4 linked regions of the Anolis sagrei genome follow. The protein of the gene in region 1 binds, or shares a complex with, the protein of each later gene. Links are inferred from orthologs where the notes say so. Each region holds a gene or a part of one and is shown in the gene's direction. Other genes may lie near its edges.

What was found.
Region 2: KAT14 (region 1) and DR1 share a complex: the UniProt entries of both Homo sapiens proteins name them as parts of the ADA2A-containing complex. The link is inferred for Anolis sagrei from reciprocal best matches to the Homo sapiens genes KAT14 and DR1.
Region 3: KAT14 (region 1) and TADA2A share a complex: the UniProt entries of both Homo sapiens proteins name them as parts of the ADA2A-containing complex. The link is inferred for Anolis sagrei from reciprocal best matches to the Homo sapiens genes KAT14 and TADA2A.
Region 4: KAT14 (region 1) and MBIP share a complex: the UniProt entries of both Homo sapiens proteins name them as parts of the ADA2A-containing complex. The link is inferred for Anolis sagrei from reciprocal best matches to the Homo sapiens genes KAT14 and MBIP.

The regions. Positions count from the first base shown.
Region 1 is NC_090024.1:133,210,560-133,217,826, forward strand, and holds the start of KAT14 (cysteine-rich protein 2-binding protein), read left to right. Parts: upstream 1-4,232; coding exon 4,233-4,488; intron 4,489-6,450; coding exon 6,451-6,569; intron 6,570-7,267. Other genes in the region: protein PET117 homolog, mitochondrial, read left to right, coding at 1,797-1,892, 3,948-4,085. UniProt on the Homo sapiens protein: Component of the ATAC complex, a complex with histone acetyltransferase activity on histones H3 and H4. May function as a scaffold for the ATAC complex to promote ATAC complex stability. Has also weak histone acetyltransferase activity toward histone H4.
Region 2 is NC_090024.1:145,862,196-145,870,083, forward strand, and holds the start of DR1 (protein Dr1), read left to right. Parts: upstream 1-4,715; 5' UTR 4,716-5,231; coding exon 5,232-5,451; intron 5,452-7,888. Other genes in the region: FNBP1L (formin-binding protein 1-like), read left to right, coding at 124-307. UniProt on the Homo sapiens protein: The association of the DR1/DRAP1 heterodimer with TBP results in a functional repression of both activated and basal transcription of class II genes.
Region 3 is NC_090031.1:23,921,677-23,929,349, forward strand, and holds the start of TADA2A (transcriptional adapter 2-alpha), read left to right. Parts: upstream 1-4,480; 5' UTR 4,481-4,549; intron 4,550-7,673. UniProt on the Homo sapiens protein: Component of the ATAC complex, a complex with histone acetyltransferase activity on histones H3 and H4. Required for the function of some acidic activation domains, which activate transcription from a distant site. Binds double-stranded DNA.
Region 4 is NC_090021.1:301,829,478-301,837,670, reverse strand, and holds the start of MBIP (MAP3K12-binding inhibitory protein 1), read left to right. Parts: upstream 1-5,026; 5' UTR 5,027-5,109; coding exon 5,110-5,241; intron 5,242-8,193. UniProt on the Homo sapiens protein: Inhibits the MAP3K12 activity to induce the activation of the JNK/SAPK pathway. Component of the ATAC complex, a complex with histone acetyltransferase activity on histones H3 and H4.

The DNA.
Region 1 (7,267 bases):
TATATCCCTGGATCTGATCCCAGGTTTTCTGTTTATCCCAAATTATCTGGGACTTATATAATCCACTTTAATGCAGATCCTGGGATATAGGGCCTGCCTGGAGGGCCCTGAGTCCACAGTGCCATATAATCCAGTTCAATGTGGATTTTATACAGCTGTGTGGAAGGGGCCCTAGTGTAATCAGAAAGACATCTGGTGCCTTTGCTTTGCCATAAAGGTAAAGAAGATAATTTTTCCAATCCAGCAACATTGACTAGGCATCCTAGTCACATATGAGAGTGCAGCAAGGAGCCAAACAAACAAACCAAGCTGGAATGTGTCCAGAGGAGGGCGACTAAAATGATCAAGGGTCTGGAGAACAAGCCCTATGAGGAGCGGCTTAAAGAACTGGGCATGTTTAACCTGAAGAAGAGAAGGCTGAGAGGAGATATGATGGCCATGTATAAATATATGAAATGATGTTATAAGAAAGGGGGAGCAGGCTTGTTTTCTGTTGCCCTAGAGACTAGGACGTGGAACAATGGCTTCAAACTACAAGAAAGGAGATTCCATGTGAACATTAGGAAGAACTTCCTGACTGTGAGAGCTGTTCAGCAGTGGAACTCTCTGCCCCAGAGTGTGGTGGAGGGTCCTTCTTTGGATGCTTTTAAACATAGGCTGGATGGCCATCTGTGTGTGTGTGTGCTTTGAATGCAATTTTCCTGCTTCTTGGCAGGGGGTTGGACTGGATGGCCCATGAGGTCTCTTCCAATTCTATATTCTACTAGCCATCCCCTGCCATGCATTGCTGTGACCCACATGGGGGTTCTGGGTGGGAGGTTTGGCCCAATTCTATCATTGGTGGAGTTCATAATGTTTTTTGATTGTAGGTGAACTATAAATCCCACCAACTACAACTCCCAAAAGTCAAGGCTCTATTTTCCCCAAACTCCACCAGTGTTCACATTTGGACATATTGAGTATTTGTGTAGAGTTTGGTCCAGATCCATCATTGTTTGAGTCCACAGTGATCTTTGGATGTAGGTGAACTACAACTCCAAAACCAAAGGACACTGCCCACCAAACCCTTGCAGTATTTTCTATTGGTCATGGGAGAACTGTGTGCCAAGTTTGGTTCAATTCAATTGTTGGTGGAGTTCAGAATGCTCTTTGATTGTAGGTGAACTATAAATCCCAGCAACTGCAATTCCCAAATGTCAAAGTCTATTTTCCCCAAACTCCACCAGTGTTCATATTTGGGCATATTGAATATTTGTGCCAAGTTTGGTCCATATCCATCACTGAGTGCACCATGCTCTCTGGATGTAGGTGAACTACAACTCCAAAACTCAAGGCAATGCCCACCAAACCCTTTCAGTATTTTCTGTTGGTCATGGAAGTTATGTGTGCCAAGTTTGGATCTATTCCATCGTTGGTGGGGTTCAGAATGCTCTTTGATTGTAGGTGAACTACAAATCCCAGCAACTACAACTCCCAAATGACAAAATCAGTTTTTTTGAGTGAAAGACATACATTGGGTTGTTAGATGTCTTGTGTCCAAATTTGGTGTCAATTCGTCCAGTGGTTTTTGAGTTCTGTTAATCCCACAAACGAACAATACATTTTTATTTATATAGAGAAGAAGATAAGACGATCCTAAGTTTCTCTTCTCAGCACTTGTTTAAAAAAGAGCAGTGTAGAAGCCCCGCCCCTCAGAAACGGGGAGGGGAGCAAAGGGAGGGAGCAATCTTACTCGGCGCCCTGCAAGCATGCGCATTAGGGGGCGCGCGGAAGCACGCATGCGCAGATGAGCCGCCATGTCGACGGCCTCCAAAGTGGTGCTGGGGGCCTCGCTGCTGCTCTCCGGCGGGGTCGTGGCGGGCGTCCACCTCCAGCAGAGGCGCCTGCAAGAGGTAACGGCGCGCGGTTTCCCTAGTGACGTCATCCCCAAAGGTGCTAGAAGCCTTTTTTCCGCCTCGCGCGCGGCGGAAGTGCTTGCTTCCCTGAGAAGAGACTTTGAGAGGCCTCTGTAGAGGGCCCAGCCTTGCCTCCCTTCCTTTGGCGCTGTATTGGCATGGCACCCTTTTCAAAACCATAGCTTCCACATGAAGTAACACCAGAATTAGAAGAATGCCAGAACTTCAATGTGTTTTGGAAGGGAGAGTAGATAGAATAGAGTCTCTGAATAGATAGAGAGTCTCTGAATTCCTCTCACTTCCACTAGATCAGTGGTTCTCAACCTGGGGTCCCCAGATGTTTTTGGCCTACAACTCCCAGAAATCCCAGCCAGTTTACCAGCTGTTAGGATTTCTGGGAGTTGAAGGCCAAAAACATCTGGGGACCCCAGGTTGAGAACCACTGCACTAGATTATGAGGCAAGAATATAGCATTAAGTAGAAGCAAACCACTAGAGGAGTGGTTCCCAACCTTTGGTCCTCCCAGTGTTTTGGACTTCAGCTCCCACAATTCCTAACAGGAGCAGTGGATTAAACCCCTGTGCTGGCAGGACTGAAGACCAACAGGTCGCAGGTTCAAATCCGGGGAGAGGAGGGTGAGCTCCCTCTATCAGCTCCAGCTCCTCATGTCGGGACATGAGAGAAGCCTCCCACAAGGATGATAAAAACATCAAATCATCTGGGCGTCCCCTGGGCAACGTCCTTGCAGACGGCCAATTCTCTCACACCAGAAGCGACTTGCAGTCTCTCAAGTCGCTCCTGACACGACAAAAAGAAAAATTCCTAACAGCTGCTAAAATGGCTGGGATTTCTAGCAGTTGAAGTCCATAACACCTGGAGGATTAAAGGTCGGGAACCACTTGCACTAGAGAGCTGCTTGGCATCATTTACTACCAAGTCGGAAATGACAAAGGCCCCTTCTAAAATGCTGATGGCGAGTTCGCCCTAGACCCCTGCTTTCCAGCTGATCTGACCATATCATCCAGTTCAAAGCAGATAATTTGGATTTTTTATCTCTCCAAATAATTTTTATTAAACACTAGCTGTACCCGCCACATGTTGCTGTGGCCAACCTTCCCTCCTTTCTCTCCTCCTTCCTTTCTCTTCCCCCTTCCTTTTTCCCTCCTTCCTTCCCTTTTTTTCTTTCATTCTCTCCTTCCATCTCTTCCCTTCCTCCCCCCTTTTCTTTCCCTTCCTCTTTCTCCCCTTTCTTCCTTCTCTACCTATTCTTGGACTACAACTCCCAGCAGTCCTCCTGTTCAATCTATCTACCTACCCATCTTATCCATCTCCATCTACTCAGTCTACCTTATCTATCTGGATTATTGCTGGGAGTGGCAGTCCAGGAATAGGAAATTGGAAATATGCAGGGATTGGGATGCTCTCAAAGAAATCCAAGGAGAAGAAAGCTTTCAGCTTGGAAGCAGTGCATTTGGATCATCCTCCTCTCCTAAAGGGCCTGGTCTAGGGGATGCTGGGAGTTGTAGTCCGGAAGAGAGTGTGGATATGCTTTTATGTGTTTTGTTTTCCAGGGGGAGTCGTTTTGCGCATGCGCTGTAGTGTCTTTTTGCTTCTTTTGGCTTTAAAGTCCCTTCCGCTGTGTTTTTCAGTGTTTTTATGAGTGATGGTCACTTGTTGGCCTAATAGGTGTATTGTGTCCAAATTTTGTGTCAATTCGTTCAGTGGTTTTTGAGTTGTGTTAATTCCACAAACAAACTTTACATTTTTATTTATATAGATTTACTAGATTAGATTGTTTTTACAAATAATAATGATTCTTGGATAGTTTTCTCTGTTTAATTTGTAAATTGTTTATATACTTATTAGTATAACATAAATTATTGTTTGGCTGCAGGGCAGTTAGCAACACTTGAAAACTTATGTTAGTTGCTAGGAAAAAGATAGCTCAGTCTAATTTTTGTTTTTCAACACAACTTGAGAAGTTTCACTGTGGGGCGTTCTTTCCAATATCATTTTTCCTGTGAAGTAAAAATGATCATATCCTTCTTTCAGAGGCTACGCGAAGGAGTGTTGAGAGACTTTGAGAGACAGAATCATAAACAAGAATATATTAACCTTTTGGAGGAACGTTCTGCCTTGATCCAACAACGTGAAATGGAAAGCAAAATTCAAGTGCTCAAAAAATGCTAACAGTGACGGAGAAGAATTGAAATTGAAATTTCCTGGTCCTTTCAGTAATTGCATAGGTTTCTTGATGGTTGAGATAATCTTCATATGTCTAATGCTATTAGCAGAGGAAGCTTCTAGCATACCAAAAAAATCCTCTTTTAAGAAACAATGGATAATAGTATGTACATAAGTGAAATGATGAGTTGTCATGATGATGAAGCAACAAGGACGTCCCCTTCAGAAGGACTGGAAGAAGGGGAAGTGGAAGGGGAGACTCTTCTCATAGTGGAATCTGAAGATCAGGCATCAGTGGATTTGAGTCATGATCAGAGTGGAGATTCTGTGAATAGTGATGAAGGGGAAACATCCTGGTCAGAGGAGCTGTCCTATTATTGCGAAAGATGCCAGAAATGGATAGCTGCAAGTAAGAATCCCTTATATTTAATTTTTGTGGTTTTCAGAACTCCAGGTTTATTCCCTTTTTGTCTGTCTGCCTGTCTCTCTCTCTCTGTATTTATGTGTATGAAAATGATGTATGTGTTTCTCTGTCATTTGAAATACAGTCCATCTAGAATATATGGTTTATGGTTAAACCTTCATTGTTTAATGAGAGTAACAACTATGCAAATGGATTCGTACAAATAAAATTAAAATGCTGAACAAATTACGTCTGCTGTGGATGGTTTTTCCCCTCTCCTCCAGGATATATGCTAAGCTGCTACAAGTTTTGGGCATCATTGCTGTCTTGCTCTGTTTGCTGATAAGAGAAAACCGACTGCTTAGGCTTTAACTGTTGAGCAGTTATGATCATAGTCATTATGAAGTTAAATTCCTTGAAGCCCCACATTCAAATCTAAGGTGGTTCTTTCTGTATGCAGAGACTGGTCTGTTATTGCTCTCAGCTGTAGTATTTGCACTGTGTAGGATCTTATTCTAGAAATTCATCTGTGTCCCTATCCACACTGACAAGTTAATGCAGTTCAAAACTAGCTAGACAACAAATGGCCATGAAAGCTAGCAAAAGAAAGCCCTTAATGCATATCAGTGCTCTATGGTTTGTGTAATCACCATCTGAGCCTCAAACTGATTCCAGGATTTTCTATGTAATCATCTGCAGAGCAAAGCCACTTTTTTGATACCAGTTTGAAACTGCATTAAATGGCTTTTGTAGGTGGGGTCCTAGATTCATGGAGTGGTGGTATCTGCTGTGTAAAGAGAAGCTAGAAAAACTCCAGCATGCACCATGATTTTTTTGGACGTTGATTGCTGATTCTAAATAAGCCTCATAATCAGTACAATATAAATAGTGACACAGTTTGTTTCAGTACCAGGCAAGAAATCCTTCTACAGGTTTCTGTCTTTGAACGCCTTGTTTTCTGATATGTTGCTCTTTCAAGGCTTGCAAAATTACACACAAGTTCCAGTAATTTGATGACAGGTCCACTGTTCTATCACATCTTGTCTATGAGGTTAACTTGGGACTGCTCATATATATGTTACACTATACTGTACTGAGGAGCCCCTGGTGGCACACTGGGTTAAAGTGTGAGCTGCTGAGCTTGTTGACTGAAAGGTCGCAGGTTCGATTCCTGGGAGCGGCGTGAGCTTCCGCTTTCAGCTCCAGCTTCTGCCAACCTAGCAGTTCGAAAACATGCAAATGTTAGTAGATCAATAGGTACCACTCTGGCGAGAAGGTTACGGCGCTCCATGCAGTCATGCTAGCCACATGACCTAGGAGGTATCTATGGACAACACTGGCTCTTTGGCTTACAAATGGAGATGATCACCACACCCAAGAGTCGGACACAACTGGACTTAATGTCAAGGGAAAAAAATGCTGCAGTCAGAATGCACTTGTAAGCTACCCCCCCCCCCTCCCCCGGGTTCCACTTCCCAACCAATTCCACTTTCTGACAGTGTTGTGGTCCTTAGACTATCAAATAAGTGAAAGCCTCCTGTACTAATTATCTGTTGATTCCCTGTCATTTGTTTAGTTACATACTGGTATGTAACTAAACAAATAATAAAAGTCATGAAGCTTATGGATTATGATCTGATTTTTCTAAAAATATCTAGCCTTATATATTTTCAGGGTGTTCAATAGTATTTCAGTCAGTATTTCTTACAGTTCAGCAAAAAAAGGTTAAAGTGTTCAGATTTTCAAAAGGCAACCTGCTTAGAGTCAGTATTTCTGTCAATCTTTTAATGCTAATAAATTGAAATGTAATTAAAGCATAAATTATTCAGTCTCGTTAGTTTCTCTTAAGGAGCAACATATCTAGTAAGAACCTTCTTACTGAAGTCAGGGGATCTCCACTCTGATAGAATGCAATGTGCAGTTTTACAGTTTATGACAAACCTGAAGCCTTTCCTTGCTTGTTTATAGGTCAGGTGAGAGAACAGATCACCCATCTCAAAGGTGATAACTTTTTCAAGTTTACTTGCTCTGATTGCGCTGAAGATGGGAAGGAGCAGTTTGAACGGCTAAAACTAACATGGCAGCAAGTAAGTAGCAAACAAGCAGTAATGGAGTAAGAAGGTTTCAAATTTCTGTGTAATGATATACACTGGGGATCTTTTGTTTGTTTAGTGAGATTCTAGTGATTTTGTTAAACCTATGCTAACTTTTTGATGCAAAGGCAAAAAGAAGTGATTTTTGAGCTAGAGCAGTTCAAAACTCATTACAAATATAATCCTTTCTTAACATTAAAAGACACAGCTATGAACATGGAAAGTGGCATTATGCCTTGTAGCCCAGTGGTTCTCAGCCTGTGTTTTGGCCTTCAACTCCCAGAAATCCTAACAGCTGGTAAACTGGCTGGGATTTCTGGAAGTTGTAGGCCAAAACATCTGGGGACCCACAGGTTGAGAACCACTGTTGTAGCCCCATGTTCCTTCAAACACTCTTGTGCCTATATAATGAACCATGCTGGTTGTACACATTATGTTAGCAAGCACTCGGTTTAATCCAGAATTGACTACCTTCTTCATTTTTAATAATGATAAGAAATAATAATAATAATAATAATAAAACTTTATTTATTGACCGCCCTCTCTTCCCGAAGGGATTCAGCGCGGATCACAAGAAATAACAAAAGTGGCAAACATTCAATGCTAGAAAACAAATAAACAAAATTCAAGGCAAAACATACAAGAAAATAAACTCAGTGTAACTTATAAACAATCAAACCAAGGATTAAAAT
Region 2 (7,888 bases), about 13 Mb from region 1:
AATACCAGGGTACAGGATTGAAGGTTGGTATACAGCATGGTCCATGCACTAATTTGCCATGCATTTAGCAGACAACTTAAACAAAATTAATGATTGTGTGTGTGTGGTTTTCCCCATACCCAGTCTTTCTTTAATAGAACCAGGGCCAGTAGTTACAGAGTTTGAAAGGAAGGTTTTCGAAGATGGAATGAAAATGGATCTTTCGGCTGCAGATAAGGAAACAGCTGATATGTTTGTAAATATTTACCTGAAAAATTACAAGCAAATTTTCCAGACACTGGGGCAAACTGCTGAAGACATAGCAGAGGTAATGTCTTAAAAGTATGCAATGAAATGTAAGGGCAAAGAGTGCTACAGCATTCTTAATGATAAGTAGAAACAATACAAAGCCATGGGTATTTGTCTAGCTGGGAACTATGAAGTCTCTAGCTCTGCAGCACAGCTGGAATACGTTTGGAGGTTTATCTCTCTTAGAAATAGTAATAGCATCCTCAAAGATTATCGTAATTTATTTAGAATTGTAACCTCCAACTTCTTAAAAAATAATGGTCTCATAGTGTTCTTTTCAAATGTTTTTTCAGCAATTAAAACAGTGAATTGCTGCAAAAGTTTTCTCTCTCTGCTTCACAATAAACTCAAAGTGAATGACATTCTTGCAATCAGAAAAGCAGTACCAGGGCAAATAGCTATCTCATGCTTCCCCCCCCCCCCCCCCCCACACACACACTTTTATTGTTATCTGGAACAATGTGGGGATGTTCATTTGTACTGCTGGTTAGCAATACAATGTATGGTTCCTAATTCTCTTGTTTATCATCCCAACAGCATACAATGAAGATAATTCTGTCAGAAAACCCACCTTTTCGTCATCAGACCAATACTTTATACACTCCAATTACAACGCTGAAGTACGCTGACCCCAATGGAGACCTGCCAATTGAGACCTTCTACAAAATGGTTTTTCAGCACGATAAAATTTTCAGTGCAAGTCTTAATTTCATTAAATTGCTGAGATGGAAAAGCAGGAAAAGCTTTGACTTGGGAGAAAGATCTTCTCAGTGAAGAAATGTTGCTGTGGGCTATTTCACTTGCTGCTTTCTATGTCACTGGGATGAGGGAAACCTAAAATAATGTGAAGTGTCTGTAAATTAATCTATATTTCAAATTATAGCATCTTAGTATGAATGGGAAATATGTAGCACTTTAGATGTAGCTGGATTGCAATACCCTAACAGCATAGACAGTTGTGAGGCAGGTCAGGAGTCTTAGTGCCCTTCCAGACAGGCCCTATATCCCAGGATCTGACCCCAGGTTTTCTGCTTTAACCTGAATTATATGATTCCCCACTGCCAGATAATCTGGGATAAATAGAAAACATAGGATTAAATCCTGGGATACAGGGCCTATCTGGAAGGGCCCAAAGTCCTTTGATAACAAAAAGACCACACATTCCTAACTCCTTTCCTAAGCAAAGCCCTGTCACCACCAGAAGATATAATTTTCTGAGTTTCATTCCATTTATGAACACAGATCTGTCACTTGGACCATTTGAATGTTTTTCTAATAAGCATTTTCATGTACAGTACTTGTAAATTGAATAGCAGTCTTTAAAAATAAAGTTTAATTTGCTTCTTCAATGACAATTTCATGAAGGTTGAGATAACAGCTTCTCAAGGCAAGAGAATTAAATTATTAAGGCTTTCCTGGTTTGTTCTATCTCATGTCAAAACCTATGGAAGGATAATTGTACCCTGAATGCTTCCCCATTGAAAAGAAATTCCATAGAAAAATATATTGTCAAAGAGAGGGGTGTTTTTCACTTAGGCAAACATTTGACTATACTAATTTCTCCTAGCAGCTAGTACACCCCAGGAAAATGTTTACTATCGGATTTTGTTAAACATTATTTTTTGGTTGGGAAGCATATGTGTCCAATAACTTCCCTCTATTTTAATTGTGTTATACTTATGACCACTGTTTCTATAAAACTGTTGTGGTAACTGTTGTGCGCCTGCTGTTTTAGAAACATAGTAGAGGGATGTGTATGTCAGTAAGGATGGAATAAACAATGTCAGTATACAGCATAATGTTTTATTATAACTTTCTTAAAACTGCTCAAGGGGCACCACATTTCCATCAACGTTTTTATTTTTGACATACAATAAGGCAGGGTGGAGAGCAAAATGTCTCACAGACACATCATAGAGTGATGGGTTGTCTCTTCCACTGCCAAACAGTTCTTACCACCAGGAAGTTCTTCTTGATGTTAAGTTACCATCTCTTTTCTGATAATCTGAATCTCTTAACCACTACAGTAAGCCTCTTTAGTTTGATGCCCTGCAGGTGTTTTTGAATTCAGCTCCCAGAATTCCTGAACATTGAACTAGGGCTTCTGAGAGTTGGATGCCCAAACAGCTGGAGGCCTGCAGGTTGAAGAGGCCTGCTCTAGACAACAGGGGAAATGTTTGCTCCAGTTTTCATCTGAAAGTCTATCAGATACCAAGAACAAGCCACGAGAGTAAAGATGAAGATCCACCCAGAGGAAAAGTGTTCCTGCCATACATCAAGGGAACCACGGACCACACAGGGAAGCTGATGAGGAAACACAATATACAAACAATCTACAAACCCACCAAGAAAATCCAACAAATGCTATGTTCAGCAAAGGACAAGAGGGATCTTCTCACCTCTGCAGGAGTCTACCGTGTACCATGCAGCTGTGGACAAGTCTACATAGGGACCACCAAATGCAGCGCCCAGACACGCATCAAGGAACATGAAAGGCACTGCAAACTACTCCAACCAGAGAAGTCAGCCATAGCAGAGCATCTGATGAACCAGCCTGGACACAGCATATTATTTGAGAACACAGAAATGCTGGACCACACCAACAACCACCATGTCAGACTACACAGAGAAGCCATTGAAATCCACAAGCATGTCGATAATGTCAACAGAAAGGAAGAGACCATGAAAATGAACAAAATCTGGCTACCAGTATTAAAAAACTCTAAAATTACAACAGCAAAACAGCAGAGAGGAAACAACCAGGCACATCTTAACACCTCTCAACAAAAGATTTTCCCAGGCTCAGCCAGGCCTTCAAATGCTAATGAAGGTGGTCAGTTGAAACATTCACACCTAGCTCCAGCAGAGAAGAGCTCTTTGCCCCACCCCAGCCATTCCACAGATATATAAACCCATTGTCCTAATTCCAACAGACCTCACTACCTCTGAGGATGCTTGCCATAGATGCAGGCGAAACATCAGGAGAAATGCCTCTAGAACATGGCCCTACAGCCCGAAAAAACCCACAAGAACCTTCCAGTATTTTCTGTTGGTCCTGGTTTGCCAAGTTTGGTTCAATTCTATTGTTGGTGGAGTTCTGAATGCTCTTTGATTGTAGGTGAACTATAAATTCCAGCAACTACAACTCCCAAATGATAAAATCAACCCCTCCCCCCCAACCTCACCAGCATTCCACTTTGTAGCCCCATTTCTTAAGGTTGGCTCTGCAATTCATGGTGCCAGAGCACAGTCTATTCAGCACCTTCCAGTCTTCTGTGTGCCCAGGAGGTAGTCTCTCGTCTGGTATCAGCCATGGATTGAGGTTCTGGGTTTGGTGATAGTATGAGAGCTGGGTCCGGAAGCTCCGAGTGTTATGCACATTCCGCAACGGCGGTTGTGAATAAGGAAAGGGGAGGGTGGCAGACCGAGGGCGAGAATATACTTCAGTTTGGTGGAAGGATAGAAAGGAGGGGAGGATTAGGGTAAGGTTTAGGGTAGGGTTCGGATTATTTATTTATTTACTTTATTTGTATACCGCTGTTCTCAGCCCTTAGGCAACTCACAGCGGTTAACAACAAGAACAGCAAAAATTCAATGCTACAACACGGTATATAAAAACAATTAACATCATAAACACATTAAACAGTTAACAACAATAACCATCCACTGGCATCTCATAACTAAAAACATGATCCAGGATTAGGGTTAGAATTAGGCTTAGGAGTTAGGTTTAGGGTAAGGTTTAGGATTTGGGTTATGATTAGGGTTAAGGGTTAGGCTAAGGGTTCAGGTAAGGGTTGTACCATTGAAGAATTCTTACATTCCTTTTATAATAACTATGTTCCATTCTGCGTTGAGCAAACAGCGCAAGGAGTGAAGCGGAAAGAGCGTAAGGCTCAGAGCTTCCGGACCCAGCTTTCATACTATTACCCTGGGTTTTAGCCTGCCACTTGTGGACTCTCACTTGCTGCGGTGTTCCAGTGAATGAAAGAAGGTATCTTGTGTGTATGTCTGGAGCGACTTGAGAAACTGGTGTAAGAGAATTGGTTGCCTGCAAGGACGTTGCCCAGGAGATGCCCGGATGTTTTTGTTGTTGTACCATCCTTGATGGGAGAGTTCTCTCATGTCCCCACATGGAGCTGGAGCTGACAGAGGGAGCTCATCCGCGCTCTTCCCGGATTTGAACCTCCGACCTGTCAAGTTTTCAGTCCTGCCGGCACAAGGGTTTAACCAGTGGTTTTCAACCTGTGGGTCCCCTGACGTTTTGGCCTTCAACTCCCAGAAATCCTAACAGCTGGTAAACTGAGTGGGATTGCTGGGAGTTGTAGGCCAAAACACCTGGGGACCCACAGGTTGAGAACCACTGGAACCCATTGCAAGACTCCTAGAGTGCCCAACCGGAAGAAGAGTGAAATAGAACGAGAATGATGCCGCCGCGCATGCGCGAGCCGCTTTCTCAGTCTCTTTGTCTCCGTTGGAAGGCTGGCGAGCTCACCGGCTGGCGCTGACAACCTCTCAACAAGGGACATTTTTAGAAGCCCAAAGACAGGATGCATTTTCACTGGCTAAGAACTCTAGGGGGGGCCGCGGGGCCTGGAGGAACCTCGCTTCGAAGCATTTCTAGGCAGGAGGGGAGGAGCGGCCTCTTCCGGGCCCAACCGGAAGCGGAAAGAGAGTAGGCCTTGAAAGGCCGCTTCCGCCGGAAGTGTTGGGCGCCGCAGCTTGGGCTGGTTGCCCGCCGCGAGCTCCTTCTCTGTTGTTCCTTGCCGCGACTGAAGAGCGGGCCGAGGGAAGGAGTGAGTGAGTGGGGGCCGCCTCCGGGGCCTGTGGGCTCGGCCCTCACGCGAAGCAGAAGGAGAAGCAGGAGGAAGGAGGAGGCGGGCGCCGGGCCCCTGGGCTCCCCTCGCCGCCCGGCTCCTCGAGCGGCACTTCCCTGGCCCAGCATGGCTTCCTCGTCCGGGAACGACGACGACCTGACCATCCCGCGGGCGGCCATCAACAAGATGATCAAGGAGACGCTGCCCAACGTGCGGGTGGCCAACGACGCCCGGGAGCTGGTGGTCAACTGCTGCACCGAGTTCATCCACCTGGTCTCCTCCGAGGCCAACGAAATCTGCAACAAGTCCGAGAAGAAGACCATCTCCCCCGAGCACGTCATCCAAGGCAAGGCCTGCTGGCAAAGACATGCCTTCAGAAGGCCAGCAGGGATAATCAGCACCATCCTGGGACCTCATCACACCACAGCATGGATCCCCTTTAAATCCAGTTACTGCCTCTTGTAAAATTCTGGGGCTTGTAGTTTAAGGAGGGACCTCTAAACTGCTCAGCCAGGCAGGACCTCACTAAACTACAAACACTACAATTCCGAAGAAGGCAGAAACTGAATTTCAAGTGAATTCATGTTCCAATGTAATGAGGCTGTAGGGCGGAATCCACATGCCGTCCAAGCTGCGTTATTTGGTAGTGTAGATCCAGCCAGATCCTTCATAGATGTGGCAGCTAAATGTGATGTGGCAGCTAAAAAAGCAGGTGGGATTTTGGCCTGCATCAATAAGAGTCTAGTGTCGGCCAGGTCACAGTCCCTCAAACTGTTGGAGGGCCAGATTATAATTTGAGGGAAAAAATGAATGAATGCACACTGCACATTATTTATTATTATTATTAAGTTTATTTTAACCCCGCTAGCATCTCCCGAAGGACTCGATGCGGCTTACAAAGGCCAAGGCCCTCAATAAAACAATAACATAGCAATACACACAACTCATAAGCAAACCAAAACAATTAAAGCAATAGCAACAAAGCAATAAAACAATACACTGTGGCACAGTAAAACTAGAGCCGGGGCTTATTTGTCTTATTTGTAGTGCAAAACGCTTAAAAACAATACAACAATTAAAAGGAAGAACAATTTTATCAAATATAAACTTATTAGTATTTCAATGGGAAGTGTGGCCCTGCTTTTGGCTAATGACATGGGATTGTTGCTGCTGCTGTGTGCTTTCAAGTCATTTCAGACTTAGGTTGACCCAAATTGATGGCCAGATAAATGACCTTGGAGGGCCGTATCCAGCCCCAGGGGCTTCGTTTGAAGACCCCTGGTCTAGATCCAGGGAAGTCATGCTACCCCTGTATTCTGCCTTGGTCACAACACATCTGGAATACTGTGTCCAATTTGGGACACCGCAGTTGAAGGGAGATGTTGACAAGCTGGAATGTGTCTAGAAGAGGGCGACTAAAATTATCAAGGGTTTGGAGAATAAGCTTCTGGACATGTTTAGCCTGCAGAAGAGAAGGCTGAGAGGTGACATGATGGCCATGTATAAGTATGTGAGAGGAAGTCATAGGGAGGAGAGAGCAAGCTTGTTTTCTGCTGCCCTGGAGACTAGGACATGGCTTCAAACTATAGGAAAGGAGATTCCACCTGAACATTAGGAAGAACTTTCAAACTGAGAGCTGTTCAGCAGGGGAACTCTCTTATTCGGTCTGTGGTGGAGGCTCCTCCTTTGAAGGCTTTTAAACAGAGGCTGGATGACCATCTCTCGGGGGTGCTTTGAATGCGATTTTCCTTCTTGGCAGGGGGTTGGATTGACTGTCCCATGTGGTCTTATCCAACTCTGTGATTCTAGAAGGAAGTGGGCTCCAGATCCTGCACTTCAGGTCACATTTTAAGGAAACTCGGGGTGCATCTACCACCTTGCAAAATTGGTGCAAGTGTGACACCACTTTGAATGAAGCTTTATTTACATCCCGCCCCATCTCCCAAAGGGACTCTTAGTGGCTTGCAGTAAAATAACAGCATAAATGGTAATAAGACACATAACAAATCAAACAAATTAAAGCACCCAAGATAAAACATGTCATAATAAGCATGAGCATATGAATTTTACTTGTGTCCTGTGTGGTGAGAAAGACCAGGTATAAATGAAGTAAATCAATAAATAAATAAAAATTCAAGAGTAGCACACATTAATATAACACAATGTGATAAATAAGCATATAAAACATATGGACATTAAAATGATTAGACACCCTGTGACCTGCTCTTGTTGCACACTAGGGTCAATTAAAATTTTTGTCTCCTTTGGCTCAATGCTATAGAAACATTAGAGTTGTCTGCACCAGCACTCTTTGCAGAAAGGGCTAAATGATGATTTTTAACTGGGAATTTTAAAATACTATTTATATTTAATCCTGTTTTAATGCTTGTATATTTGTGTATTTTAAATGGCTGAGCAGATGCTTTTATGTTAAGCAGCTTTGAGTCCTCTTCAGGAGTCCTTTTAGACCCTCTGCTGACGATGGAGGCCCAGGCCACCACTGCGAGCAGAGTCGCATTTTTCCATCTGTGTCAGGCTAGGCGTCTGGCTCCCTATCTGTCCAGGGACGACCTGGCCACGGTGATCCAGGCTACAGTCATCTCAAGATTGGACTATTGTAATGCCCTCTACATAGGCCTGCCTTTATCAGTGATCCGGAAACTTAAACTAGTGCAAAATGCTGCTGCCCGGCTTCTCACAGGGGTTCCAGCAAGGTGTCATATCACTCCAATCTTGCAGCAACTGCATTGGTTGCCGATTGAGCACCAGATTACCTTCAAGGT
Region 3 (7,673 bases), on another chromosome or scaffold:
AAGGCCTGAACAAGTATCATTTCCATGGCCATAAATATATGAATAGACAAATACACGTTGTTTAATAATAATAATAATAATAATAATAATAATAGATATCCTTATTTCTTGTTATTTGCCTATACTTCTCTACTATGGCAAGCTTTAACACATAAAATTCCATAATTACAAACTGATAGGATTATTTATTTATAGTATTTATATTCTTCCTGTCTCAGGGTGGATCACATTGAGCAGTTTCACCAGAGATCTATCTCTTTCCTACCCTAAACTATGCACTTTATTTCTGGCCCACGAATTGATTACTTGACATTTCTAAGGGTATCTCCTGCCTCAGTTCCTTTTAATCCGCACTTTCCACTGGCCCCAATCGGAAGTTATTGCATGAAAATGAGCCTGATCCCAGGCACATTTTAAGGCTGTTATCTCAGCCTTATTCTTTTAAGATGTTGTTTTGATTGTGTTTATGTCTTTGATTGTTTTAATGCTCCCTCACTGACAATGGACCTGGATGAAATTTGGCACACAGAACCCCCATGACCTAAGAAAAATAGTGGAGATTTTGAGGAGAATTCACCTTGATTTAGAACTGTAGTAGGTACTGGGATTTATAGTTCACCTGCAATCAAAGAGCACTCCAGACATCAGCAACAATGGCCCTGGACCTAACTTGGGACACAGAACCCACATGGCCAACAAAAAATGCATGAGGGTTTTGGGGGGAATTCATCTTAATTTATAGGAATTATAGTTCACCTACATCCAGAGAGCACTGTCAACGCAAACAACAATGAATCTGGACCAAACTTGGCATGCATACCCAATATGCCAAAATTTGAATACTGGTGAATTTGGGGTGGAATTGTCCTGGACATTTGTTAGTTGTAGGTTTGGGATTTATAGTTCACCTGCAATCAAAGGGCAATCTGCACCCCACCAATGATGGACCTGGACTTAACTTAGCACACAGAACCCACATGAGCAAAAAATACTAGAGGTCTTTGGGAAAATTCACTTTGATTTAAGGGAGTTGTAGTTCACCTACATCCAGAGAGCACTGTGAACCCAAACACCAATGGATCTGGACCAAACTTGGTACATGTACCTGATATGCCGAAATTTTATTACTAGAGGGGTTTGGGGGGAACTGACTCTTTCTTTCTGGGAGTTGTAGTTTACTCATAACCAGAGAAATAGTCATCTCCACTGATGATGGACATGGACCCAACTTGACACACAGAATTGGAGGGGTTTGTGGGGACTGATTAGCCATAGCGTGGGCTATGCCTCCCTTGTAAGATGCCCCGACTCCCTTCGGGGAGATGGTAGCGGAGTATAAAAATACAGTTGTTATTGTATTGTCGAAGGCTTTCATAGTTGGAATCACTAGGTTCTTGTGGGTTTTTTTGGGCTATATGGCCATGTTCTAGAGGCATTTTTCCTGACGTTTCGCCTGCATCTATGGCAAGCATCCTCAGAGGTTATTATTATTATTATTATTATTATTATTATTATTATTTACTCCTATCTCAAGAATGGGAAACATGGCCATACAGCCCCAACAACCTAGAACATGGCCATACAGCCCAAAAAACCTACAATAACCCAGTGATTCCAGCCATGAAAGCCTTTGACAATAAGGGAAACGTAAGGTTGGTGGACGGGAAAAGAGATTTAAAGATGGGCTTAAAGCCAACCTTTAAAGTTGTAGCATAGACACCGAGAACTGGGATGTCCTGGCCCTTGAGCACTCTAATTGGAGGTCAGCTGTGACCAGCAGTGCTGCAGAATTCGAAAAGGCACGAATTATTATTATAAACTTACTATTATGTATAATTATATGTGTCCTATATGTACAATTATATATGTCCTAAATGTACAAAAGAGTAAAAGGGAGAAACGTGCCAAGAGGAAGGCGTGTCAAGCCAACCCCGATCGGGACCACCTTCCACCTGGAAACCGATGTCCTCACTGCAGGAGAACATGCAGGTCAAGAATAAGGCTCCAGAGTCACCTACGGATTCACTACCAGGACATGATGCTTGAGGGGCCATCATACTCAGACAACTAATGATTGCCTAAATAAGTAAGTATTACTACTACGACTACTAAAATTCTAGATGGGACCCATAGGAGGACCATCATACTCGGGCTACGAGGGATTGCCTAACAACAACAACAACAACAACATATGTTTAACATATTCGTATTATATTACAATATTATAACAATAGTATTATATTGTATTACTATAGGTATTATAGTATATAATGTAATATCATTATCAATATCTTATGTATATACAATATATATTATTAGCCCAGCACTATATCAATATTATATATGTAGTATATGTACAATTATATATGTACCATAGATATCAGTATTATATATATATATACTATATGTACAATTATATATGTCCTATATGTACAATATCAGTATTATAAATGTCCTATATGTACAATTATATATACCCTATATGTACAATAACAGTATTACATATGTACTATATATATATCCTATATTTTAAATTATATACATGCTATATGTACATAATCAGTATTATATGTGTACTATATGTACAATTATATATGTACTTTATATACAATTATATATGTATTATATGTACAATATTAGTATTATAAACTTACTATTATGTATAATTATGTGTCCTATATGTACAATTATATATGTCCTATATGTACAAAATCAGTATTATATATGTACAATATATACAATTATATATGTCCTGCATGTACAATATCAGTATTATATATGTCCTATATGTACAATTATATATGTCCTATAATTATATATGTACTATATGTACAATATCAGTATTATATATGTCCTATATGTGCAATTATATATGTCCTATATGTACAATATCAGTATTATATATGTCCTATAAGTACAATTATATGTCCTATAAGTACAATTATATATGTACAATATATATACAATATCAGTATTATATATGTCCTATATGTACAATATCAGTATTATATATGTTCTATAAGTACAATTATATATGTCCTATAAGTACAATTATATATGTCCTATATGTACAATATCAGTATTATATATGTCCTATAAGTACAATTATATATGTCCTATATGTACAATATCAGTAATATATACGTCCTATAAGTACAATTATATGTCCTATAAGTACAATTATATATGTACAATATATATACAATATCAGTATTATATATGTCCTATATGTACAATATCAGTATTATATATGTTCTATAAGTACAATTATATATGTCCTATAAGTACAATTATATATGTCCTATATGTACAATATCAGTATTATATATGTCCTATAAGTACAATTATATATGTCCTATATGTACAATATCAGTATTATATATGTCCTATAAGTACAATTATATGTCCTATAAGTACAATTATATATGTACAATATATATACAATATCGGTATTATATATGTCCTATATGTACAATATCAGTATTATATATGTTCTATAAGTACAAATATATATGTCCTATAAGTACAATTATATATGTCCTATATGTACAATATCAGTATTATATATGTCCTATATGTGCAATTATATATGTCCTATATGTACAATATCAGTATTATATATGTCCTATAAGTACAATTATATATGTCCTATATGTACAATGGAGCCCCCGGTGGCGCAGTGGGTTAAAGCACTGAGCTGCTGTGCTTGTTGATCGAAAGGTCGCAGGTTCGATTCCGGGGAGCGGCATGAGCTTCCGCTGGCATGCCCTAGCTTCTGCCAACCTAGCAGTTCGAAAACATGCAAATGTGAGTAGATCAATAGGTACCGCTCCGGTGGGAAGGTAAGGGTGCTCCATGCAGTCATGCCAGTGGCCACATGACCTTGGAGGTGTCTATGGACAACGCTGGCTCTTCGGCTTAGAAATGGAGATGAGCACCAGAGTCCCAGAGTCGGACATGACTGGACTGTCAGAGGAAAACCTTTACCTTTTTATATGTACAATATCAGTATTATATATGTACTATATGTACAATGAGTATTATATAGGTACTATGTGTTTTACTATACCTCTATACTGCTGTATTATTAGTAATATTACGCATAATAGACAATTATTATCTTATTATATACTATTATATTGTACTGTGTTAGTAAACCACAATTCCTATAAGACACTACAAGTGTACTATTAGTATTATAGAATATATTGTACTATATCATGAGCTGTAGCATATATAATCTATTACAACATTATTCATATTATATACAACATTATTAGTAGTACATTACAATGTTATTACAATTCTGAGGAGAAATCTGTGGTCCAAGTTTCCCTCACGTTTGTTTTGGTCTTGAGGCGTGGAACACGTGACTAAGGCCAAGCCAGGCACCAACTCGAGAGCGCATGCGCAGTTTGAACAACACTAGAATCCTACGCTTTTAGGAGGAGGCAGCGCGCATGCGCAGAAGGCGGGAAAGAAGTAAAAAGGAAAGGAAGGGCCATAAGGAAGGAAGCCTGCCCTTGTTGGAGACTCAAGCTATTCGGCGGTAAGAGGAAAAGCCCAAGAAAGGTCGAGAGATAAAGGGGAAGTAATAATAACAATAATAATGGGTTGTTGTAGGTTTTTTCTGGCTATATGGCCATGTTCTAGAAGCATTCTCTCCTGACGTTTCGCCTGCATCTATGGCAAGCATAGAATCAAAGAGTTGGAAGAGACCTCATGGGCCATCCAGTCCAACCCCCTGCCAAGAAGCATCCTTAGAGGTAGTGAGGTCTGTTGGAAGTAGGAAAAAGGGTTTGGAATGACCAGGGTGGGACAAAGGACTCTTGTCTGCTGGAGCTAGGTGTGAATGTTTCAGCTGACCACCTTGAATGGCATATAATGGCCATGTTAGAGACTGGGAATATAGGGTGACAGGCCCAGAAGCAGAGAGGAGATGAGATTCCGATGGGGTTTTTCAACAAGGCTTTTATTTCAAGTTGATCAACATGAGATGAATAGCCTTTGACCATTCCCGGTCAAAGAACAAAAACTATTCACCCTTTGTGGCGCACTTAACAATGTTTTTAAAATCAAACTTGTAAGAACAACACGCAAGCAACTTCTGATTGGTTGTACTGTTTCTAACATCACAGCATGAGCTGTGACTTATCTATCTGCAAGTTGATTATCCAAGGCAGAAAGAATTTGTGGGAGTAAAGGAGTGCATCTGCTTGTGTCTGACTGAACAAGGAACACAGAGAATAATTATTCTTTCTCTATCAGCAGCCCTTGGCAAGCAAGGTTTTCTCTATAGACAAAGATTCTGGGACTTGTAATAATTGGAAATTTATTTTTCTTAATCATGTTCCTATAGCCTGACAGTGACTGGAGCAAACTTTTGTTGAGAGGTGATTAGATGTCCTTGATTGTTTCCTCTCTGTTGTTGTGCTGTTGTAATTTTAGAGTTTTTTAATACTGGTAGCCAGATTTTGTTCATTTTCATGGTCTCCTCCTTTCTGTTGAAATTGTCCACATGCTTGTGGATTTCAATGGCTTCTCTGTGTAGTCTGGCATGGTGGTTGTGAGAGTGGTCCAGCATTTCTGTGTTCTCAAATAATATGCTGTGTCCAGGTTGGTTCATCAGGTGCTCTGCTATGGCTGACTTCTCTGGCTGAAGTAGTCTGCAGTGCCTTTCATGTTCCTTGATGCGTGTCTGGGCAATGCTGCATTTGGTGGTCCCTATGTAGACTTGTCCACAGCTGCATGGTATACGGTAGACTCCTGCAGAGGTGAGAGGATCCCTCTTTATTATTATTATTATTATTATTATTAAACTTTATTTGTACCCCGCTAGCATCTCCCGAAGGACTCGATGCAGCTTACAAAGGCCAAGGCCTCAACACAACAACAACAAACAATAACAATACAATGCAAGCAAATTAAAACATAAGCAATAACACAACAAAACATTACACTATTACACAATAAAATCAGGGCCGGGCCAATGATGGGTACAGGTTAAAAATGTGCTGGGTGTAAGAGGTGATATGTTGGGATTCTGGGCAAGTGCAATGTGCAGAGAGTCTTAAGCTCTAATAAAGTGCTTCTGGGACGTAGTGCTGGAGCTTATACTATTCAGGAAAGGCACATCGGAATAGCCAGGTCTTCAAGTTCTTCCTAAAGACTGCCAACGTGGGTGCTAGTCTAATGTCTTTGGGGAGGGTGTTCCAAAGTCGGGAGGCAACCACAGAGAAGGCCCTGTCCCTCGTCCCCACCAAACGCGCCTGCGACGCAGGTGGGATTGCGAGCAAGGCCTCTCCGGATGAATGAAGTGAGCGCGTGGGTTCGTAAACGGAGATGCGGTCACGCAGGTAGGCAGGTCCCAAACCGTTTGGGGATTTGTAGGTAAGCACCTGCACCTTGAATTGGGCTCGGTAAGTAAATGGCAGCCAATGGAGCTCCTTAAACAGGAGGGTTGACCTATCTCTGTAAGGAGCACGAGTTAACATCCTGGCCACCGCCCGTTGGACCAGTTGGAATTTCCAAGCCGTTTTCAAGGGCAGCCCCACGTAGAGCGCATTACAGTAATCCAATCGAGAGGTGACCAAGGCATGGACCACCCCAGCCAAATCAACCTTGTCCTTTGCTGAACGTAGCATTTGTTGGATTTTCTTGGTGGGTCTGTAGATCGTTTGTATGTTGTATCAGCTTCCCTATGCGGTCAGTGGTTCCCTTGACGTATGGTAGGAACACTTTTCCTCTGGGTGGATCTTCGTCTTGACTCTCGTGGCTTGTTCCAGCTCTTCTGATGTGTCAGGTGGAGTCTCCATTGGCCTGTAGAGCCCAGTTTAGGTGGTTCAGTTCATCTTGAAGAAGTTGACAGAATCAATTTTTTTTGAGTGAAAAACATACATTGGGTTGTTAGGTGTCTTGTGTCCAAATTTGGTGTCAATTCGTCCAGTGGTTTTTGAGTTCTGTTAATCCCACAAACGAACATTACATTTTTATTTATATAGATGCCTTATTGATCTTTTGGAACACTACTTGCTTTCATGAACTTTTATCTTTTATTTTTCCATAAACTACAAAGACTTCCATCTGTGTGCAGTTTTGATGATTTCAGCAAGGTGAATCTACCATCCTCTGACCATCCTAAATCCTTGCTAACCCCAGTCACCATGAATCAAGCGGACGTTCAGCAGTTGCAGCAACAGATTCAAGCGCTACAGGCACAAATCGCTGCTTTAAGCCCTGTAGCAAAGATCCCGATGGCAATGCCGAACAAGTTCTCCGGGGAAGCCCAGCGGGTAAAAGACTTCGTGGGACAATGTGACGCCTTCATCAAGGTGCGAGTGGCAGAATTCCCCAATGAAGCAGCGAAAGTGGCTTTCATCTACAGCCTGCTTGAAGGGCCTGCGCTGGCTTTGGCTACGGCATTGCGTGAGGCCAACGCTCCCGTGCTGGCCACCGCTAAGGAATTCATGGAACATTTGCGGTACACCTGGGGGGGCCGAGTGGCCAAGGAGACAGCTGCAGCTGGGCTCGGCTCATCCCAGGATCGAAGCTGCAGAAAAGTCGAGGCGGCAGACCGCAGGTTGCGGGCTCTGTCGCAGAAGGAGGGCCGGTTGGCCCAATACATTTCGGAGTTCCGCGCTTTGGCGCAGAAGCTCGCTTGGAACGATGCTGCC
Region 4 (8,193 bases), on another chromosome or scaffold:
ACTAATATGCTTCTTGGCTGCTGAAAGAAGGTCTCTCACATTGACACAGAAAGGACCATTTTAAATCTCTCATAAAAGGACATTATGTGAATTGATCCCACTGATCCCATTGTACATATGTTGTTCTGAACTAAGAATAAATTACTTGTTCTTTATTGTTCATCTGCGTAGCATATTTTCTTTCTCTAGCAAGGCAGTGTGTGGGCTGATAAAAAAGTGGTTTATTTTACATTCTGCCATAGGTTATGGGCCCAGTCTCATGCCACAGTGCCACATCTGCTTGTGCCAGTGCCACTGCTAGAGTTATTTTAAAAGGACTGTAGTTAAATATTTCTTGATCAGATGTGAACTACACATGGTTTATTTTACATTATGCCACAGAGTTGGCTATTATAATATATCAAATACAAACTGTCATCATATGGGGTCAAATGTAGTCAGTTGTTCAACAGGGAAGATATAGGGCATTCAGTTCAGGGTAGACTATAAGAAACTGTAGCTCTCAAGGATTTGCTTTACTAGATCTTTCAATGTCAGATTTAAAACATTTTAAGTAACATCCTCTCCCCCTTTGCTAAATAAAATAAAGCAACTGCGGGGGGAAGGGGATGGGTGGAGACGGGACCAAGTGGGTCACTGTTTTCACACTTTGTGCTGTTAATATTGGGAAGTAATTTATGTTATTGCAGACAGTAATCAAAGTACCTGTTCAAAATACCAAATTTACTTTTGTATCATCTCCTGATCTCTATCAATGTATTTCTTCATTTATGTAGATAAAGTTTAAAACACATTTCAAGATATATTTCCCTTCTATAAAAACATTTAAAAGTGTATTTTAATGGCATTGATCCAGTTGTTTGTCTGTTTGAAATACAAATAAGAATAAATCACCCTGGCTTTTTGAACATTGGAGGAATTTAAAATAAATCATTTCTTCTGGCTGTTTCTTGCACCTGACTTTCTGGGCTGGATTTTATTTCTTTCCGTCGTATTTTTTTCAATGGCTGCTTCAGTCAGGATAAAAAGCTGAGTCATCTAGTAAAGTGTTGCACATGCTACAGATAAATCTGTACATGCTGCAGAAAAACAACAGCTACTGACAAAAATGTTCTAGTGTCCCTATTTTAAGAACAAACAGGACTAAACCACTTTGGGGTGTCTGAAGTGATCATCAGAAATCAGCCCAAGACATGACTACCATTGAACAGTGACTATCTGCATGGCCTTCCAGATGTTGTTCAACTCAATTCCCAATAGCCACAGCAGCATGTTCACTGGTGATGGCAGTCCTAGTCCAATGTTTGGAAAGCATTAGAATGGATACAGGTTGGGTCCTCCTTATCAAGAATTCCAAAATTTGAAGTAATCTATAACTCTCTATATAGGTGACACTTTTGCTTCCTTTCTCTCTTTTATATATATGTGTGTGTGTATGTTATACAATTTACGAAGACAATAATTTCTCCGTATATGACTTATTTCAAGACTTCTGAAGCTTTTTGCACTCGTGACCTCTTTCCACCTGAGAAATTTTTACATGATCCTGAATAATAAAGGTAAAGGTTTCCTCTGACATTAAGTCTTGTTCAAAGACACCTCCAAGGTCATGTGGCTAGCATGACTGCATGGAGTGACATTACCTTCCCATAAAAGCGGTACCTATTCATCTACTCACATTTGTATGTTTTTGAACTGCTAGGTTGGTAGAAGCTGGGCCTAACAGCAGGAGCTCACTCCGCTCCCCGGATTCAAACTGTCAACCTTTTAGTTAACAAGTTCAGCAGCTCAGCAGTTTAACCCACTGCGCCACCAGGGGGTCCTGAATACATAGTTATAAAAGACAGGTATAAAAACTAAACATTTACTGATAAAACGCTTGCTAAATACGGTGATTTTTCTTTTTGTGGAGTCCAGTGGATGCATTTCTGCAGAGTCACTGCAAACACTGCAGATTTCTGTAAATGGGCAGCCTTCAGAAAACTTTTACTGTTACCAGATTTTTCATGGCCCCAACACTGAGCTAAGGAGACCTCATTTGGGTTCTGGACACAGTTCAAGAAGCAGTGTGGCTTATATTACTGTAAACCTCAATTCAAACTAATTTCACCCACCCTCCTAGCAAAAAACAATGATCAATTAATAAAATTGAAAGATTAAAATGGACTTTTCCACCTCAAAGATACATAATTAAAATACTACTGTTACTGTATTGCATTGTATTATCTTAGACAGATTGTTCATTATATCTTGCTAACTCAGTGTTTTATGACTAATGGAACGGCCCTGGATAATGATTTGGATTGTGTGATTTTAATTATGTTTTAATATTTGATGTTTTAACTGTTTGGATTTTAATATATTCACTTGTTTTATTGATATGTATCTATGTGGCATTGAATTGTTGTCTTTGTAAGGCCGCTCTGAGTCCCCCTTCAGGGTGAGAAGGGCAGGGTACAAATGTAGTAAATAAATATGATAAAAAGTACCTTGGTATGTTTCACATTTTCATCACAAATTGTTAGTGTGCCTGTACATTCTCTTTCCAGCCTGGTTGGAGTCAGGTACCATCCGTACATCATTTCATAGATATTCTATTTCAAGTCAAAACTTGGAATATTTTTACATTCTTTTGACCATATTGCCATCCCACCTCTCCAGCCCAATTTTTTTGCCCATTGAGTCAAACATTTTTCTTTCGTTCTCCCTTTTAATTCTATTTTCACAAACTTTTCAATATACACAGTTTGACACCACTTTAGTGGCATGGCTGGAATCCTGGGAAGAACCAGCACTCTTTGACAGAGAAGGCTCAAGACTGCACCGGGGATTGTGGGCACCGGGGATTGTGGCGCAGCTGGCTGAGTGTCAGCTGCATGAAGATCACTCTGACCAAAAGGTCATGAGTTCAAAGCCAGCCCAGGTTGGAGTGGGTTTCCAACCAATTGTGTAGCCTGTTGTCGACTTTTGCAACCTGAAAGACAGTTGCACCTGTCAAGTAGGAAAATTAGGTACCACCTTAAAGTGTGGGGAGGCTAAATTAACTAATTTATGAGGCCATACAAAAAAGACTCCAGCAAAGCACTCCAGCAAAGAAGCATGCGGGGAATGCGGAAGTGCTTCATCAGCGTCGCAGATGGACAATGAAAGCGACAGCTCCCCTGGCAGCCAGAAAAAGTTAAATAGCCTCTGTCTATGTCTGTATATGTTGTATGTCAAAATTGGCATTGAATGTTTGCCATATGTGTACACTGTAATCCGCCGAGTCCCCTGCGGGGTGAGAAGGGCAGAATATAAATGCTGTAAATAAATAATAAATAAAGTACAACTCTCATGATTCCACGTAGAACAAAAGCTGCTTGCAGCCACTTTAACTGCCATGTCTTAATGCTATGGGGTCCTGGGAGTTCTAGTATTACATGCTCTTTGGCTTTCTTTCGCAAAGAGTGTTGGTGCTTCACCAAACTGCAACTCCCATGATTCCATAGCATTAAGCCATGGCAGTTAAAGTGGAGTCAAAATGCAATAATTCTGCAATGTAGATGCATCTATACAAAGGTGGAAGGGTAATTATCTTATAAAACTGCAAATAACATAATTCCACAGCATTGAGCCATGGCAGCTAAAGTGGAGCCAAAATGCAGTAATTCTGCAATGTAGATGCACCTATAAAAAGGTGGAAGAGCAGGTTAGTTAGCTTATAAAACTGCAATTCCCATTTTTTTTCTCGTGTCAGGGCAGCCAGTCAATTATATTACATTTCTAACAGAACAAAGCAAACAAACAGAGAAAATACAAAATGTGTGAGTTTGGTAGTTGATTAAATGTCCTTTGACCAGTATCTGGCCACTTGGAGTGCTTCTGGTGTTGCTGCAAGAAGGTCCTCCATTGTGCATGTGGCAGGGCTCAGGTTGCATTGCAGCAGGTGGTCAGTGGTTTGCTCCTCTCCGCACTCGCATGTCGAGGATTCCAGTTTGTAGCCCCATTTCTGAAGGTTGGCTCTGCATCTTGTGGTGCCAGAACATCTGTTCAGCACCTTCCAAGTTGCCCAGTTCTCTGTGTGTCCAGGGGGGAGTCTCTCATTTGGTATCAGCCATTGGTTGAGGTTCTTGGTTTAAGCCTGCCACTTTTAGACTCTCACTTGCTGAGGCGTTCCAGCAAGTGTCTCTGTAGATCTTAGAAAACTATGTCTGGATTTAAGTCGTTGACATGCTGGCTGATACCCAAACAGGGGATGAGCTGGAGATGTCTCTGCCTTGGTCCTTTCACTATTGGCTGCCACTTCCCGGCGGATGTCAGGTGGTGCGATACCGGCTAGACAATGTAATTTCTCCAGTGGTGTAGGGTGCAGACACCCCATGATAATGCGGCATGTCTCATTAAGAGCCACATCCACTGTTTTAGTGTGGTGAGATGTGTTCCACACTGGGCATGCATACTCAGCAGCGGAGTAGCACAGCGCAAGGGCAGATGTCTTCACTGTATCTGGTTGTGATCCCCAGGTTGTGCCAGTGCCCACTTTTTGCTTGATGTTCAGGCAGTGCTTCTTGTAGGTAAGAGCACGGTCCAGAGTGACTCCCAGGTATTTGGGTGCGCTGCAATGCTCCAGTGGGATTCCTTCCCAGGTGATCTTCAGAGCTCAGGATGCTTCTCTGTTCTTGAGATAAAAGGCACATGTCTGTGTTTTAGATGGCAATTCCCATGACTCCATAGCATTGAGCCTTTGCAGTTAAAGAGGAGTAAAATGCAATCATTCTGCAGTGTAGATGCACCCATAAAAAGTGAAAGAGAAGGCTGATTAGCTTATAAAACTGCAACTCCCATGATTCCATAGCACTGAGCCATGGCAGTTAAAAGTGGCATCCAAGTACAAGCCTGCTGCAGCGTAGAGCACCCAACTTCCCTTGCGCATGCGCGTTCCAGGAGCCAGGGCCTTTAGAACCTTCCTAAATCCTCAAGCCATTCCACGCTGGCCGTCAATCTTGAGCCTGGAGGGGGCGGAGCAAAGGGCGGGCTCTTGGAACGGAGGGAGCGCTGTCGTCATCGACGCGCGACCACGTCCAAGGGGGCGAGGTATGGCGAGGGTTGCCTTGGCGCTGAGCGGCTGTCATGGCGTCCACCGGGGAAGGGAGCTGCTCTGGTGAAGCCGAGGCCTCCGCCCGGGCGGGGAACTCCTCCGAAGAGGCGCTCCGAGAGATCCTGAGGGACTCCCTGCGTGTGCTGCTTCGGCTGGCAGAGGAGGTGAGTGGGCCGAGGGGAGCCGTGAGAGAACAGGCGGCGGAAAGGGGAACCGGGCTGGAAGTTGAGGTGGGGAAGGGGAGAAGCGGGCTTTGGTTGGCGAGGGAGTTTAACAGGCCCCATTCTAAAGGTGCCCCAGACCCTCTTTGCTTGATTTGCAAAATTCTGGCTAGTATTTCGAGTGCTTTTTTCCCACAATTTCACTGGATATCCCAGGCAGGGGCCAACTTGGGCCCTCCGGGTGTTTTGGACTTCAACTCCCACAATTCCTAACAGCCAGTAGGCTGTTAGGAATTGTGGGAGTTGAAGTCCAAAACACCCGGAGGGCCCAAGTTGGCCCCTGCCTGGGATATACACTGCCATATAATGCAGTTTGCGCATTACATTAAAGGACATCAACATTATAGAATGATTGCAGTGTGACACTACTTAAACCAATCATGGCTCAATGCTATGGAATCATGAGAGAAGTAGTTTCAAAGGTCTTCAGCCATCTCTGCCAAAGAGTGCTGTGACCTCATGAAATTACAACTCCCATCAAGCCAGGGCGGTTAAAGCGATGTCAAATGCATTAATTCTATAATGTAGATGGCCCCAAGGGCCTCCTGATGGTGCAGCAGTTTAACCACCAAGCTGCTGAACTCGCTGACCGAAAGCTTGCTGGTTTGAATATGGGGAGTGGGGTGAGCTCCTGTTGTTAGGCCCAGCTTCTGCCAACCTAGCAGTTCGAAAACATGCAAATGTGAGTAGATGAATAGGTACTGCTTTGGTGGGAAGGTAATGGCCTTCCTTGCAGTCATGCCGGCCACATGTCTTAGGAGGCATCTACAGACAGCATTTCTAAGCTCTTCGGATTAGAAATGGAGATGAGCACCACACCCCAGTCAGACACGACTAGACTTAATGTCAAGGGAAAATCTTTATCTTTACCTTTTTTGGATGGCCCCATTTGTACAGTTTCAAGCCAGTATTGAAGACACTGGTTTCAGCTGTGCTGATGCTTACATAGAAAATTTTGGAACCAATTTGAGGCCTGGATAGTGATTGCACAAACCACTGGTGCACATTAAGGGCTTTCTTTCACACACTTTTGCAGTAGCTTGTGGTCTGAGACTAGCCTCAAACTACATTAAATTGCCAGCATAGTTTGTTTTTCAAGGGTGGCTGTTGCCATGTGCATTCAAGCAATTTCTGGCCAAATGAGACTGTTAGGCAGTGATTCTCGACCTGTGGGTCCCCAGGTGTTTTGGCCTACAACTCCCAGAAATCCCAGCCAGTTTACCAGCTGTTATGATTTCTGGGAGTTGAAGGCCAAAACATCTGGGGACCCACAGTTTGAGATCCACTGCCCTATCACACAGTTTTCTTGACACAATTTGTTCAGGAGAGGTTTGTCCTTGTCTTCCTCTGAGTCAGAGAGTGTACGACTTGCCCATGGTTGTCCAGTGGGTTCATGACTATGTAAATTCAGAATTATCTTAATTCTAAGTTGCATCCTTCCTATCTTGCTCCATTCAATGGAGTTTTGAGCTCTAGTTTTGTGTATACATAAGAAATTACATCTGTCTCCCTGGACATACTTCATCATTTTGCAGAAGTGACCAGTCTTGCACCCTAACTGTGCTAGAAAGAAAACTCTGAAGTTTCACAAGGCATCTGATAGGAATAAGGAATGTGGATCATTGGAAGTAGAAATTGTACAAAAATGGGAAATACAAACCTTGTGATAAAAGCTTGAGTATCCCATTGTCTGAAATGCTTAGGACCAGAGGTGTTCTGTATTTCAGATTTTATCTGGAGTTTTCAATACTACCATATTCATAATGAGATATCTTGGAGATGAGATCCAAGTCTTAACACAAAATTCATTGTTGTTTTGTATATATCTTACACAAATAGTCTGAAAGTAATTTTATGTACCATATAAAAATGTTCTTGAAGCAAACGTTGGTGTATATTAAACCATCAAAGTCAGGGTGTCACTATATCAGCCATCCATGTGGACAGTTTGGGATTTTGGAATACTTCAGGTAGGGGATGCTCATCCTGTAAATGGTGTGAGGAAACTAATGTCAATAGGAATTTTCAGTGCAATAATTACATAACGTTTTACTCAGGAAATTACCATCTAAGAAATCAGATGGAATGCATAATAAATTGTAATATAGTAAAAGCAATCAGGAAATATAATTTAAAGTTAGACCAAGTAATTTCATGGAATAACTATGAAAATAATTTTAATCCAAGTTTATGCTCCCAATTCTGTTGGTAGAAAATAAAAAATCAATGCAATCTATGCAGGCTTTCAGGAATAAATCAATCAGACATATTGATCATGGGTGATTGAATCTCAGTGGGAAGAAAAAGAGGAGAACCAAGCATTTTTGGCCTAGAATAAAAAATGAAGCAGGAGAGGGACTGATGAAATTTTGTGAAGGCATCGGGCTTTTGTTGTTACAAAGACATTATTTAGGCATTTGAAAAGATTTATACATGTACATTATTGTATGACTAATACTGAATTAAAAATGTATAATTGGAAGGAGAAAATGGAGAGGCTCAATTCTTTCTCCAAAAACAATACTAGGAACAGATTGTGACACAGGCCATGAACTGCTAATATCAAAAATTAGAGAAAACGTAATAAAATGCATTAAATCAATTGTAATCTATATATATAAATCTGTTAGGTTGGTTCAACGGGACAGCAAAACTCCACAACCCCCCAACGGAACTTAACCAAAATTCCCATGCCCATAACACAACCCACAAGGTACAAACATATCTACTCAAAATGAAAAACAACACAACAACACACTCACAAAACGGCAAAACAACAAAACTCAAAAAAACCCCAACGAAACTTAACCAAAATTCCCATGCCCATAACACAACCCACAAGGTACAAACGTATCTACTCAAAATGAAAAACAACACAACAACACACTCACAAAA